Linked DNA regions of Sus scrofa. The main gene of each other region encodes a partner of the protein of the gene in region 3 in a complex. Links are inferred from orthologs where the notes say so. Each region holds a gene or a part of one and is shown on either strand. Other genes may lie near its edges.

The links. The genes of interacting proteins can lie anywhere in the genome.
Region 1: LIN54 (region 3) and TFDP2 share a complex: the UniProt entries of both Homo sapiens proteins name them as parts of the DREAM complex. The link is inferred for Sus scrofa from reciprocal best matches to the Homo sapiens genes LIN54 and TFDP2.
Region 2: LIN54 (region 3) and LIN52 share a complex: the UniProt entries of both Homo sapiens proteins name them as parts of the DREAM complex. The link is inferred for Sus scrofa from reciprocal best matches to the Homo sapiens genes LIN54 and LIN52.

What each region holds. Positions count from the first base shown.
Region 1 is NC_010455.5:82,934,945-82,938,688, reverse strand, and holds the start of TFDP2 (transcription factor Dp-2), read left to right. Parts: upstream 1-898; 5' UTR 899-910; coding exon 911-1,075; exon of another isoform or gene 1,076-1,333; intron 1,334-3,744. UniProt on the Homo sapiens protein: Can stimulate E2F-dependent transcription.
Region 2 is NC_010449.5:97,380,507-97,384,250, forward strand, and holds the start of LIN52 (protein lin-52 homolog), read left to right. Parts: upstream 1-1,513; 5' UTR 1,514-1,850; coding exon 1,851-1,881; intron 1,882-3,744. Other genes in the region: ALDH6A1 (methylmalonate-semialdehyde dehydrogenase [acylating], mitochondrial), read right to left, coding at 1,228-1,275.
Region 3 is NC_010450.4:135,330,529-135,334,272, forward strand, and holds the start of LIN54 (protein lin-54 homolog), read left to right. Parts: upstream 1-1,355; 5' UTR 1,356-1,886; coding exon 1,887-2,109; intron 2,110-2,524; exon of another isoform or gene 2,525-2,835; intron 2,836-2,927; exon of another isoform or gene 2,928-3,135; intron 3,136-3,744. UniProt on the Homo sapiens protein: Component of the DREAM complex, a multiprotein complex that can both act as a transcription activator or repressor depending on the context. In G0 phase, the complex binds to more than 800 promoters and is required for repression of E2F target genes.

The sequences.
Region 1 (3,744 bases), on a different chromosome or scaffold from region 3:
GACTTTATCTAGGTACAATTATGCAGAAATTATCTCTCCACTCCACCCCAGAGAAAGGTCCAAAGGTACTTTCTCACCTCCCCCACCTCGTTTAGGTATTTATTTAAATGGCACCTTTCCTGCTGCCTTCCCTGGGTACTGTGTTTAAGACAAGCCATCCTTCAAACACCCTCTCTACTAGACTGTTTTCCCCACAGCATGTGTACCAGCATGTAACAGCTAATATCTTGCTTATCTCTTTTGCATATTGTCTTTCCCACCCCACTAAAATGTAAGCTCACATGATTTTCAGATAGGCACACAATTAATAAAATGTATTAATATTGGAAGTGTATTTGGGGATAGGAGCCGTGATTTTCTCTTCAGCTTCTAGTGACCTGGCCTGGTTTGGATCTTATATGCCAGTGATTGAAGGACCCACATCCCGGGGCTCTCTAACCCACTGTCTGAACAATTCACAGGGTATTGCACACTTGGCCTCACACGTGGCCTCAATCACTTGTCCCCATTCTCCTTCACTCTGCTCCCCTGGAGATGACCCATTCGAATGCCTAGGGACGGAGATGTAACCGCCCTAGTTCCCCCTTTTCTAAGGGAGATAGGGTTTTCCTGCTTTAGGCTGAGGGGATGGGGGAGGATGAAAAAGTCAAGATTCCCACCATGGCCAGGGGAGACAGGGGAGGGTGTTTCTATATATTTTAGGCCTCAGGCCTGTAGCCTGCCCTGGAGGGGGCCGGGGAGCCGTGTGGTGGGACCGCTGCGGGGGGCCCACCAGGAACCTCCAGTGAGCTACCCAAGGCCGGTGCAGAGTGCAAGAGACCCCGCTTCCCCACCTGGCGGCCCCCTCCTCTCTTTGGGAAGCCTGGGGGCGGGGTTTGTTTACTCCTTGCACGCACCGCCGGCTTGGCCAATGCGTGGGGAGAGGCGCCTTACGTCACTCATGCCGAAGGCCAATCGGCGCTCACCGTGCTGCTCCGCCGCCAAAGCTCGCGCGGGGGAAGCGGGGCAGTGGCGGGGCCGGGAAAGGGCGGACGAAGCCGCCAGCGCTCTCTGCTGCAGCCGCCGGAGCTGCTCGGTAAGCGGGGCGCGCCCTGACCCTTCCTCTTTGGGCAGGCTCGAGGTCGCGCGCGCGCGCGGTCGGCGTCCCGGGGCCTCGAACTCCAGGGCCTCCACTGGGCAGGCCGCGGATCGCCCACCCTGCCCCGAGTGTAAATCCACCGGGACCTGGCCGCCGCCAAGCGCCGGCGCCACTGGAGCGGCGGCGCCCGAAGACGCGCCCCAGGCTCGAAGAAGAGCCCTGCGTGGCCGCCTTGTCCTCTGCAACCTAGCGGCGGTAAGGTCCAGGGCGAGGGCGCGGGCTCCGTGCCGAGGGCCTCTGGATTCGGCCCGCCGAGTTCCCGGGCAGGTTTCCCTCCATGAGCCTCCGGCCCCCTTGCAACCTCGGGTCCCATCTGTTTATTCCCACGCGTTCTTCCAGGCCTCGCCGAGTAACCCTTAAGGGTCTGGGGAAGAGTCGGAAACTCGAGACTCCCCTACTACCCCACTCCCCCGTACAAATTGGAGTGAGCCACCGTGCCTGAGTCACGCCTCGTGGAAGAGAGGAAAGGCTGCTTTCTCCTCTCTCGGCATCTTCAGGGGAGAAGGATGGCGTTAAGTCTAGGTTTCCGACTTTTCCTCCTTTCATGACCCATAGGCCTCCATCTCTCTCTATCAGGTGTATTTCAGAGTGCCAAAGCCTTTTGCGATTGGAAGAACCTCATCGCCCCCATAAGGGAACTTTTCTCTAAAGTAGAGGATCACTTTTGGGGCCCAGGCTCCTTTGAGAAATTCCAGAGAGCCAAGGTCTCCTCCCCTCTCCACCTTCCAGAAAAGTATAAAGGTTTTTGTAGGATCTTGTAGAGAGACTATGCAGCCAAGTGGGTGAGCTCTCAGCCTCTGCTACCAGCTGGTATTACCTTGCGTGTGGTCTCTTTCTTCATCTGTAAAAGAGTATCCACCTATTCGGGTTGTTGCCGGGAGTAAATGGACTAATAGGTGGAACCCTTTGGAACAAAGCTCATCTCCTATTAAGTGCTCTGCCCTGAATGAGTTAGGCCTTTAATTGACCACCGTGAATGGTGGTTTGTAAAAGGTCCCTCTATTGATGTTTCTCTTTTTTCTGCTGAAACAGTTAACAGGCTCATCATCCCTTTCTGTATTCACTGCTGAAGCTCCTTTTGAGCCTTTGAATACTTTGAATGCTTTTCTCTTCCTCATTCTATCTCTGAGGATTCAGACTCCCTTCCCACTTCTTTACTCTCTTTTTAGTAAGGCATTCCCTCCCTTCTCCGTTCTCCCCCAAATCTTTGTCTTGTGTTTTTTCATTTGACTTCTATAGCCTCATTCCGCCCCCCCGCCCCCCCACCGGGCCACTTTTCTTTTCTCTTATTGGCTTGTAATCATCTTCACCTAGTTGACATAGTTGAGGTTATTCATCTGTCCTCTGTACAAAATTACATAGAATTTAGTTGATTTGATCTTGCATGTTGCTTTTCCATTTCATTGGTTAGCCTATAATTTAGCTAAGCTTTATCACTATCCTGTTACTGTAATAAATCTTTCATGGCAGTGTCCATTCTCAAGTAGCACCCGGAGAAAAATCAAATGCCTAGACCCCGGATTCTGTCACACTTGTGTGCTGGCTCTCAATGCATTTGTTATTTATTAGAACATCTTGTGCCTGGAACTAGAGTCTAGTCTCATGGCAGACATGGTGTCTGTAGCACTGTTCTGGCAGTACAGTTGCAGTTTCAGCAATATGGCGCTTATATTTAATAAATGCCCAAGGCTTATTAAACTCTTATTTTTGAGTTCTCTTTATTTCTAATTGTTTAATTAAGAGGAGAAAACAATTTTCAAGTGTGTAATACCGTACATTACCATTTTGTGGTCATGTACCTTTCCATCCAACTCTTGGAACTCTGTCCTCCAACTGGCACCTTTACGTTTTTCCCTTGCAGCCAAAATCTTGACTGAGCTATGTCCTCTCAATGCAGCTTGAAATTGGATGTACAAATATGTTTCTCCTTTATGGGAAGGCATTTGCTGATGCAAATTATTCACTAAAACATACCCTAAGGATTCAGAGATGGCTTTTTTGTAATTAGGAATCGAAATGTGAATATACATTTGCTTTGTTGTTTTTTTTTTTTAGCGTGATAGATTGGCTTTGTTTTCTTGCTGTTGTTGTTTTATACAAAATGCATGAGTTAGTTATATTTACATTGACTTTACCATTTTTAAAACCCGTTTAGATATATGAAAGTTTTTAGAACATGGTGGGGAAACAGAGTGAGCTAAAATTAAATTCAAGGCAAAGGGAGTTCCCGTCGTGGCTTAGCGGTAGTAAACTCGACTAGTATCCATGAGGACATGGGTTCCACCCCTGGCCTTGCTCAGAATCCGGCATTGCTGTGAGCTGTGGTATAGTTCGAAGACGCACTCAGATTCAGTGTTGCTGTGGTGTAAGCCGGCAGCTGAAGCTCTGATTTGACCTCCTAACCTGGGAACCTCCATATGCTGTGGGTGGGGCCCTAAAAAGACAAAAAGTAAAAAAATTAAAAAAAAAAACATTCATAGCAAATTTAGTAAAATAGAACCTAGTGCTCTGACTTCTGGTCCATTGTTTCTTAGTTTGTCAAACTTAACAGTTAACCAGGAGTAAAAGATGAAAAGGGAGAATTTAAGATGAAGTCTTGAAAGCAA
Region 2 (3,744 bases), on a different chromosome or scaffold from region 3:
AACATAGGAAAAGCTATGTATGAATAGTTGGAAATCACAGGTCTCAGGCAGGCAGCTCCTGTAGCTCTATCTACTGTCTGCCCTTAGGCTGGCTTCAGAGAGGACCTGGTCCCTCCACCTCCACTCCCAGCCCCACCTCTGAGGGCAGAACTGAGTCACACTAAGGTGATTTTGGAGTGGGAACTTAGAACGTTACACCTGTTTTCCTTGGCTTTTATTTTCTGCCACTTGTTTCAGAGGTGTTTAGTCCTTTGCATGTGCTTGGAACAAACCGGGTAGCATTAACTATGTGTCCTTATTCACCGCCAACATAAACACTAACTTGGCTGAGCAAAAGTTAAACTCAAAGTCTCAGCAAGCCAAGAGGACAGCCTAGCTTGTGGAAAATACAGAACCACGGAGTTCCCGTCGTGGCTCAGTGGTTAATGAATCCGACTAGGAACCATGAGGTTGTGGGTTTGATCCCTGGCCTTGCTCAGTGGGTTAAGGATCCGGCGTGGCCGTGAGCTGTGGTGTAGGTCGCAGAGGGGGCTCGGATCTAGCGTTGCTGTGGCTCTGGCGTAGGGCGGCGAAGACCGCTCCGATTAGACCCCCAGCCTGGGAACCTCCATATGCCGCGGGTGCGGCCCCAGAAAAGGCAAAAAGACAAAAAAAAGAAAAGAAAAAAAGAAAATACAGAGCCAAAGCTGGGGAAGATAGCTCAGCAAATGGCTGCTTTGAGGGAAAGCTTAGTGTGCACTTCTAGAAGGAGACTCAAAGTTCACTCACTGACCCTCACCCCTCAAGTCCTTCCTCCTCCTCCCCTCCGCCCACGCCTTTACCTCGGGTTATAGAGTGAAGTAGGGTTGGGGAAGGGAACAATTTGGACGCTCCCAGAGAATGCCAAGAAAGGCGACCAGAAAAGGAGCTTCTGGAGCAGAGAGGTGGTTGGTGCAGAGGTGAAAGGGAAAGACGGTGGGCAGACCTACAGAGGTGAGGGCAGGGACCGGGCACGGCTGGAGGAGGAGAATGGTCTAAAGCCTGAAAGGGGTAGGCTCAAGAATAAAAAGGCCACGGGTAATAGTCCAGGGCTGGATCCAACGCAAGTGGATACCGAGTGAGATGTGGGACAGGGCCGCTCAGGTCCGATGGGAATAGGAGGGTCGGCCAAGGGGGGGTTGGTTCACAAAGCGGATGGAAAGGACTGAATTCCTAGTTTCATGAACCCTTGGCGCCACCCTCACTCGCCTGCAGGATCCGGGCCCGCACTGCCGCCGCAGCCAGCACCGCCGCCATGGTTCTCGGTTGCCTCTTCTCAGCCCCCCACGCCTTTCTGTGAGACTGTCCAGAAACACTACTGCTGCTAGGCCTTGCCCCTCCATCCTGCCGAACCTCTTCATTGGTGGAGAGGACTATTTCCCCTAGCCAATCACACGCCTTAACACTGACTCCACGCCCTCAGTGCCCAGTTCTGGGCGTATGCGATTGGTCAGAAGTGATAGAGCTCTCGCCTCCTCCCGCCTCAACAAATTCTGCTGGCGGAGGTGGGGAAGACGCCCCTGACTTGGATACTCTATATTGAGAGCACGAGGAAGACGCCCCCGAATTCGGAACTCCGATTGGCCACAGGCATGGCCGCAGCCCCACCCACTCACTGAGGAAAGTAAATAGGACTCTGCAAGAATTTTCAGCAGCGCCAGCACATCCACAGCGCGAGGGGGTGTGGCTAGCCCTGGGGGCGGGGCTACGGAAGATTACCCTATGGGGCGGGGAAACGAGACAGGACAGAGGGTTGGGGAATAGGGTTTCTCTCTGGGGGCGTGGCTTATGGACCCTAGCTTTCCCGCCGACGGTTGGCAACGTCACGTGACATGGGTTGGAAGATGGCGTCTCCCACAGACGGTAAGAGCCGGCTTATAGACCCTTCGCTTGCGACCTCCTTCTCTGTTCTCCTGGGAACTTACAGATGCTCAGAGAGAATCTCTCCGTCTGCCCCTCTAACTTACACCTTTTTCGTGGCCTTCTCGCCTTTCCCTTTTACTTTCCCACGGTATGTGGGTGCGTCTTCAGCTCGCTGGTTCTTCACAGAGGCTCCGGAGGTGCCCAGTTTCTTTGCAGTGTGCCAGGCGGATGGAGTAGGGCACCCGATTGGGACCCATTCCGGGCAAAACAAGGAGGGCCTCTCTGGTCCTCCTTTAGCCGCATTTGAGTGAGGCTGAGGGCCAAGGAGGAGATACTGCTGGGGTAAAGGAGGTGTCTCAGTGTAGCTTTCTCTTTCTCAGGGCGCCCCTTTGAAGGTTCGATTCTCTTTGAGCATCTGGAACGATTCTCTCACGCTAGCTAGGGTTGGTGGCAGACCTAATCTCGGGATTGAACCGCAAGGAAAATGTGATTCTCTCCTCCCTCCTCGGATTGGGACCGTTGTTCTGGCAGCAAGGGAAGCAGGAGACCCCTCTTGGTCCCTCTCAGTGAGAGTCCCTAGGAAAATGACAATTGAGCTTTTTAGTGTAGTCATGCACATTCATTCACTCAGCGTCTTTCTTCTATGTTATGTGTTGTTTCCTAAGGCTGAGTGAATGAATGATTTCTGCTTATATGTTGTATAAGAAGCAAGTCATCTGAGGTAGCAATTAAGTGGTTTTGGTATATCCACAGGGTTTTGCGCTCCGTTCTGCTTTAGGGTTAGGGTCTTGCAGTCATTTCTAAGCTCAGTTTTTGCCTCGACAAAATGCTTGCAGTCGTTTCTAAACTCAGTTTTGCATCTCCACGTCCATTTCACTTATACTTAGTTTTCTCTCAAACAAAGGAATTTTGTGTATGGAAGGAATCTTGGAAGTTCATTTCAAGAATGAGGAAGTTGAGGCCTGGAAAGCTATGCTGAGATCCACTATTCGAAAGGCATTATTATTCTAATTGCTTTGGGAGAGGAAAAGATTAATCAAACATGTAATATTTTTTCAGTTTCATTTAAATGTCACCTCCCAAAAAGGCTTTCCCAGAACACTGTATCTGTTTCTGGAGTTGCCTCACTTCACCATTATTCTATCTCAGTACCCTCATCCACAGCATAGTTATTCTGTTAACTTTGCCCCTTTCACACTAGCTTGTAAATTCCAAGACTGTCATGTTCATAGTTGGATCCCAGGGCTTAGCACAGTACCTGGCAGGAAGTAGGTCTTCAATTCACATTTATTGAATGAATGATTAGATATATACATAAATAATGTATTACTTAGTCTTAAGTTTTAACTGAGTGTTAAGTTTTTTGAGCATGGGTACGTACTGCAGAGGAAATTATGGGTGTAAAGAGTCAAAAGAGGAGTTACCATTGTGGCTCAGTGGTTAACGAATCCGACTAGGAACCATGAGGTTGCAGGTCCTATCCCTGGCCTTGCTCAGTGGATTAAGGATCCGGCGTTGCCGTGAGCTGTGGTGTGGGTCGCAGACACGGCTGGGATCCTGAGTTGTTGAGGCTCTGGCGTAGGCTGGCAGCTACAGCTCTGATTAGACCCCTAGCCTGGAAACCTCCATATGCCGCGGGAGCGGCCCAAGAAATGGCAAAAATATAGGAGAAAAAAAAAAAGAGTCAAAAGAGATTCTTCTGCCTGGGTGCTCTCTTGTTAAAATGTGCTTTTTTTTTTTTTGCCTGGAAAAAAAGGACATTTAAAAAGTTAACCAAGGGTATGAGGAGCTACTGTTTAATGGGTATAGACTTTTAGTTTGGGAAAGTGAAAAGGTTCTGGTAATGGATAGTGATGATGGTTA
Region 3 (3,744 bases):
AAAGATTTGGCATCTGTGATTACTGATCACTCCCCACCCAAGTACATCAAACAGCGGCAAGATGCTGGAAACTGCACCCACAGCAGAGACTTCCTAACAAGGAAAGCGAGACGGTAGCGCGGTCCCTTCCAACCTCCCAACTGCAGGCGCGATCCCGCTCTTCCCCCTCCCAGTCTCAGCCGGATGGAACATTCCGTGCGAAAGCTTGGACCGGGCGCCCACTCCGGGTCACGTGGAGCAGGAGCGTCCTGCCGGCGCCTTGCGGGATGACGCTCGCTCGGGTTGCCAAGGGGCGGGGCAAGGCGCCGCGGAAGGGGCGGGGCGAAGGAAGCCGGCCGGGAGGCGGGGCGGGCGGAGCGGAGGGGCGGGCGGAGAGGGGCGCGCGGGCGGGGAGGGCCCGGCGTATTATGGGATGCGGCGGTGGAATGGCGCTGGGCGCGTGATTTTGAACAAACCCGGGTCTGTGTCTCGGAGGCGCCGCCGCCGCCGCGGCTGCTGGGAGCCCAGGGAGCGCGGCGCGAGGAGGAGGCGGCGGCGCCGCCGGCTTTGGTGAGTGTCAGCCCCCGGGGTGGGGGCTTCTGGGCGGGCCGGCGGGAAAGGGGGCGCTGCGGGTGGAGGCGCGGGCGGAGGGCGCCGGACCGCCCTCTCCGGGAGCCCGGCTAGTGGGTCGTGGCGGAGAGCGGGAACCTGCAGTCTGGGGGCCGCCGCGCCCCATCCCCGGGCCGCAGGGGGCGGGAGGAGCCTCCCGGCTCGGGCCCTTCCCGCCGGCCCTCGGGAGGGCGGCTGTCACCCGGCTGGGCCGCCGCTCCGCCGGCAGCCTGTCCTTCTGGGCGGTCTGGAGGGAGGGCTCCCGTGGCTGTTGACACGCACACGGCGCGGCCCGAGGAGCCGCCGTGTCGGCCCCGGGTTTCTGGGAACCGGTTTTGCTGCTGTGTCATTTCGTAGCAGCCCTTCCTTTCCCTACTGCCCGCCGCCCGGTTCTTCCTACGCCCCTTTGTATGGTGTCTTCGTGTGTGTCCGTTTTCCTCGCGAAGCCCACCAGCCAAATGTCATAATGTTCCCGAGGTGCACGGGGAAGGGAGCGGGCCAGGGCTTAGCCTGGCCAAGCAACGGTAAACACCAAGCAGAGTGCGGATGGATGGGGCTGGCGGAGGGGAAATAAAGTTTAAAGATGAAGAAGCTGGGCAGGCTCGATACTCCTGGCGTCTAGCAGGCTGCATAGAGAAACGACGACTGGGCCGATTGATAGATAGCACTTGTTTAAGCCTGAAGCTGCCGTCTTTTATGTGGAATTGTCATTCAAGCAAGGTAAGGAAGTGAAATGGCTTTTTCAGTTTCTTACTCTCTCTTCTTAAACTAACTTTGAAGAAAGACAGTCGAGTGGCTCTGTTCGAAATCTGTACATTCCGTTTGCTCATTTCAGACAGGTCTTATGCTGTAGTCGAATGGTAGGTATAGAATCCAGCTTTTGGATGGGTGGTTATCAAACCTGAAATCAATAAAGGCAGCTAATTTACGTGTTTTTTTTTTTTTTAATTCTGATCCCGTCAGAAGCTTGCAGCTTAGGTTTTCTTGTTATGTCTTTGATAATTAAAATAATCTGTATTTTCTTTTCGTTATTCATTAAACTGCACAATGGTGGAGCTGATGGGGCTGGGTAGGTAACTCCGGGGTCTTATTCTAAAGCAAGCTGCTTATTTTCACTGTATCAAATGAATGTCAGCGGCAGATTTTTTTTTTTTTCAATTATTCGGTGACTTAGATCCTTAAAAGCGTTTGGCAAAGCATTTCCGCTTAGAGGTATGTTTTCTCTATTTTAGAAACTGTTCACTCATGACTAGGGTCAATGCCTTGTAAATCTAGTTGCACTTTGACGTCTTAAGCCAATGACACACTGGAAGCCCCAGAGTTTATGGTCAGTGTTGATGATCAGAGAAATTGAGTGGAAAACAGTTGAGAACGTTACTGTAAACACTAGACGTTTTGACCACAGTATCTGCAGGAGAAGCCGTGCTGGTCATGGACAGAGGTGTCAGAGGTGGGACGTGCAGGTGGAAAGAGCCCCTTCTGTCAAAGTGGTGCTGACGGGGGAGGAAGATGTCAGCGTTGGTGAGTGACCTTAGAGGTCTCGATCCTGCTGTTGGGGTCGAGGGTGGACACGGTGCGTAACAGGCGACCCGTCCTCCCCTCCCTCAACTTGCTTTCCTGAAGATGAGAGAGTTTGGGCTCTTCATTGTCCTCCTGCCCCCGTCCGCCTGGCTCTTGCCTCTCGAAACAAAAATCCGCCGGACCGGGGAGCCCGCAGCGGGCGCGCCTTCCCCCGGCGTGGCCGCGGGGCCCGCAGCAGCCGCGTCCTCGGCTGCGGGGTGAGAGGGCTCGGCGCGGGCTGCGGGTGCGCTCGCCTCTGCCCGGCGCTGCGGGGCGGGCGGCCGGCCGGGCGGCTTCCCCGGATATGTGGGCGTGCGCCTCCGCGGGGGGGGCCCGGGGCGGGGGCCCGGCGGGGGCGGGCGGCGGCGGCGGCCGGGGCGCGGGCTGTCGGGGAGGCGGCTGCGCTGCGATGGTGATGACGAGGTGAAAATGGCGGATCTTTCGAAATACAATCCCGGCCGCTGACACTCCGGAGGCGGCGGCGGCCGCGGCGGCGTCGCCCCCCGCGCTGGCGGCTCGGCCCCCGGGGTCCGCGTGGCGCTCGGGGGCGGGCAGGCGGGGGCGGACGCGGCCGCCCGGAGCCGCGGGGCGCAGGCACCGGCAGCGGCGCCCGGGCTCGGCGCTGCCCGGGACCTTCGGGAGCCCCCACCTCGGAGCCGGAGGAGGAGAAAGCGGCGGCCGCCGGAGGTAGAGGAGGGTGCGGAGGGCGGCTCTGCGCGGGGTCTTTATTCGGGGGGGCGGGCGGGCGGGAGGAGACTCGCGCTGCGGCTCACGGAAGGACGAGGGCAGAGGGCACGGCTTCGGGAGCCTCGTAATGCCGTCAGCACGATGCTCTGAGGGTTCCGAGGGCTCGAGTTGGCTCTTATTCCTGAGGCTGCTGCCGAGGCCTAGAGGAACCGCTAGCAGTTGTCATGATTTCCTGATTTAAGACTTAAAATACCCTCTCTGGCGGGGGCCGCTTTGAAGATGTTCCCAGGTTCAGGGGTGGTATGTTTCTTTCGGGAGGCAGCGCGTTGGGCATTTTCTGCATTTCAGCTCTGGGTCTTACATCATAGTCTGTAACTTGTTGGGCTGTGGATGTTCACGTTTTTTGAGCACATGCACCAGTTTTGCAATGACTACAACTCTCGCCTCTTTCTTTTATGGCTCTGTCATCTGTAGAAGACCCTTTGGCCCCTGCCATTGGGCAGATAACAGTGGAGATGCTGTCGGGCATGTGCGATAGCCGTGTTTTTCCCTGCCCCCATCCATTTCGTGAATTCAGAGAGTAAAGTTATGGAAGATGTTGCAGTGGATTTTATGATCCAATCAGCTCTGGGGGCTCCAGGTTCACAAGTTTTACCTTCATTGTTAAGAAGGAAGTTACGATGGCTTGACAACGTGCACTTGATAGAAGTCAAATTTTAAGTCGGTTCAAGATGGCCTGAGATCTCTCTCCTTTAAATACCGGACTTGTTCGCCCTTTGTTTAAAGAGCTGGAGAATTGGGTTGACTGACTTTCTGACAGCCATAGTCTGATTTTGTTAGATTACCTAAAGGTCCTTGTATGTTTTTGATTGTGCTGCAGGTACCTGGAGAGTGGTGTTACTGAAAAGT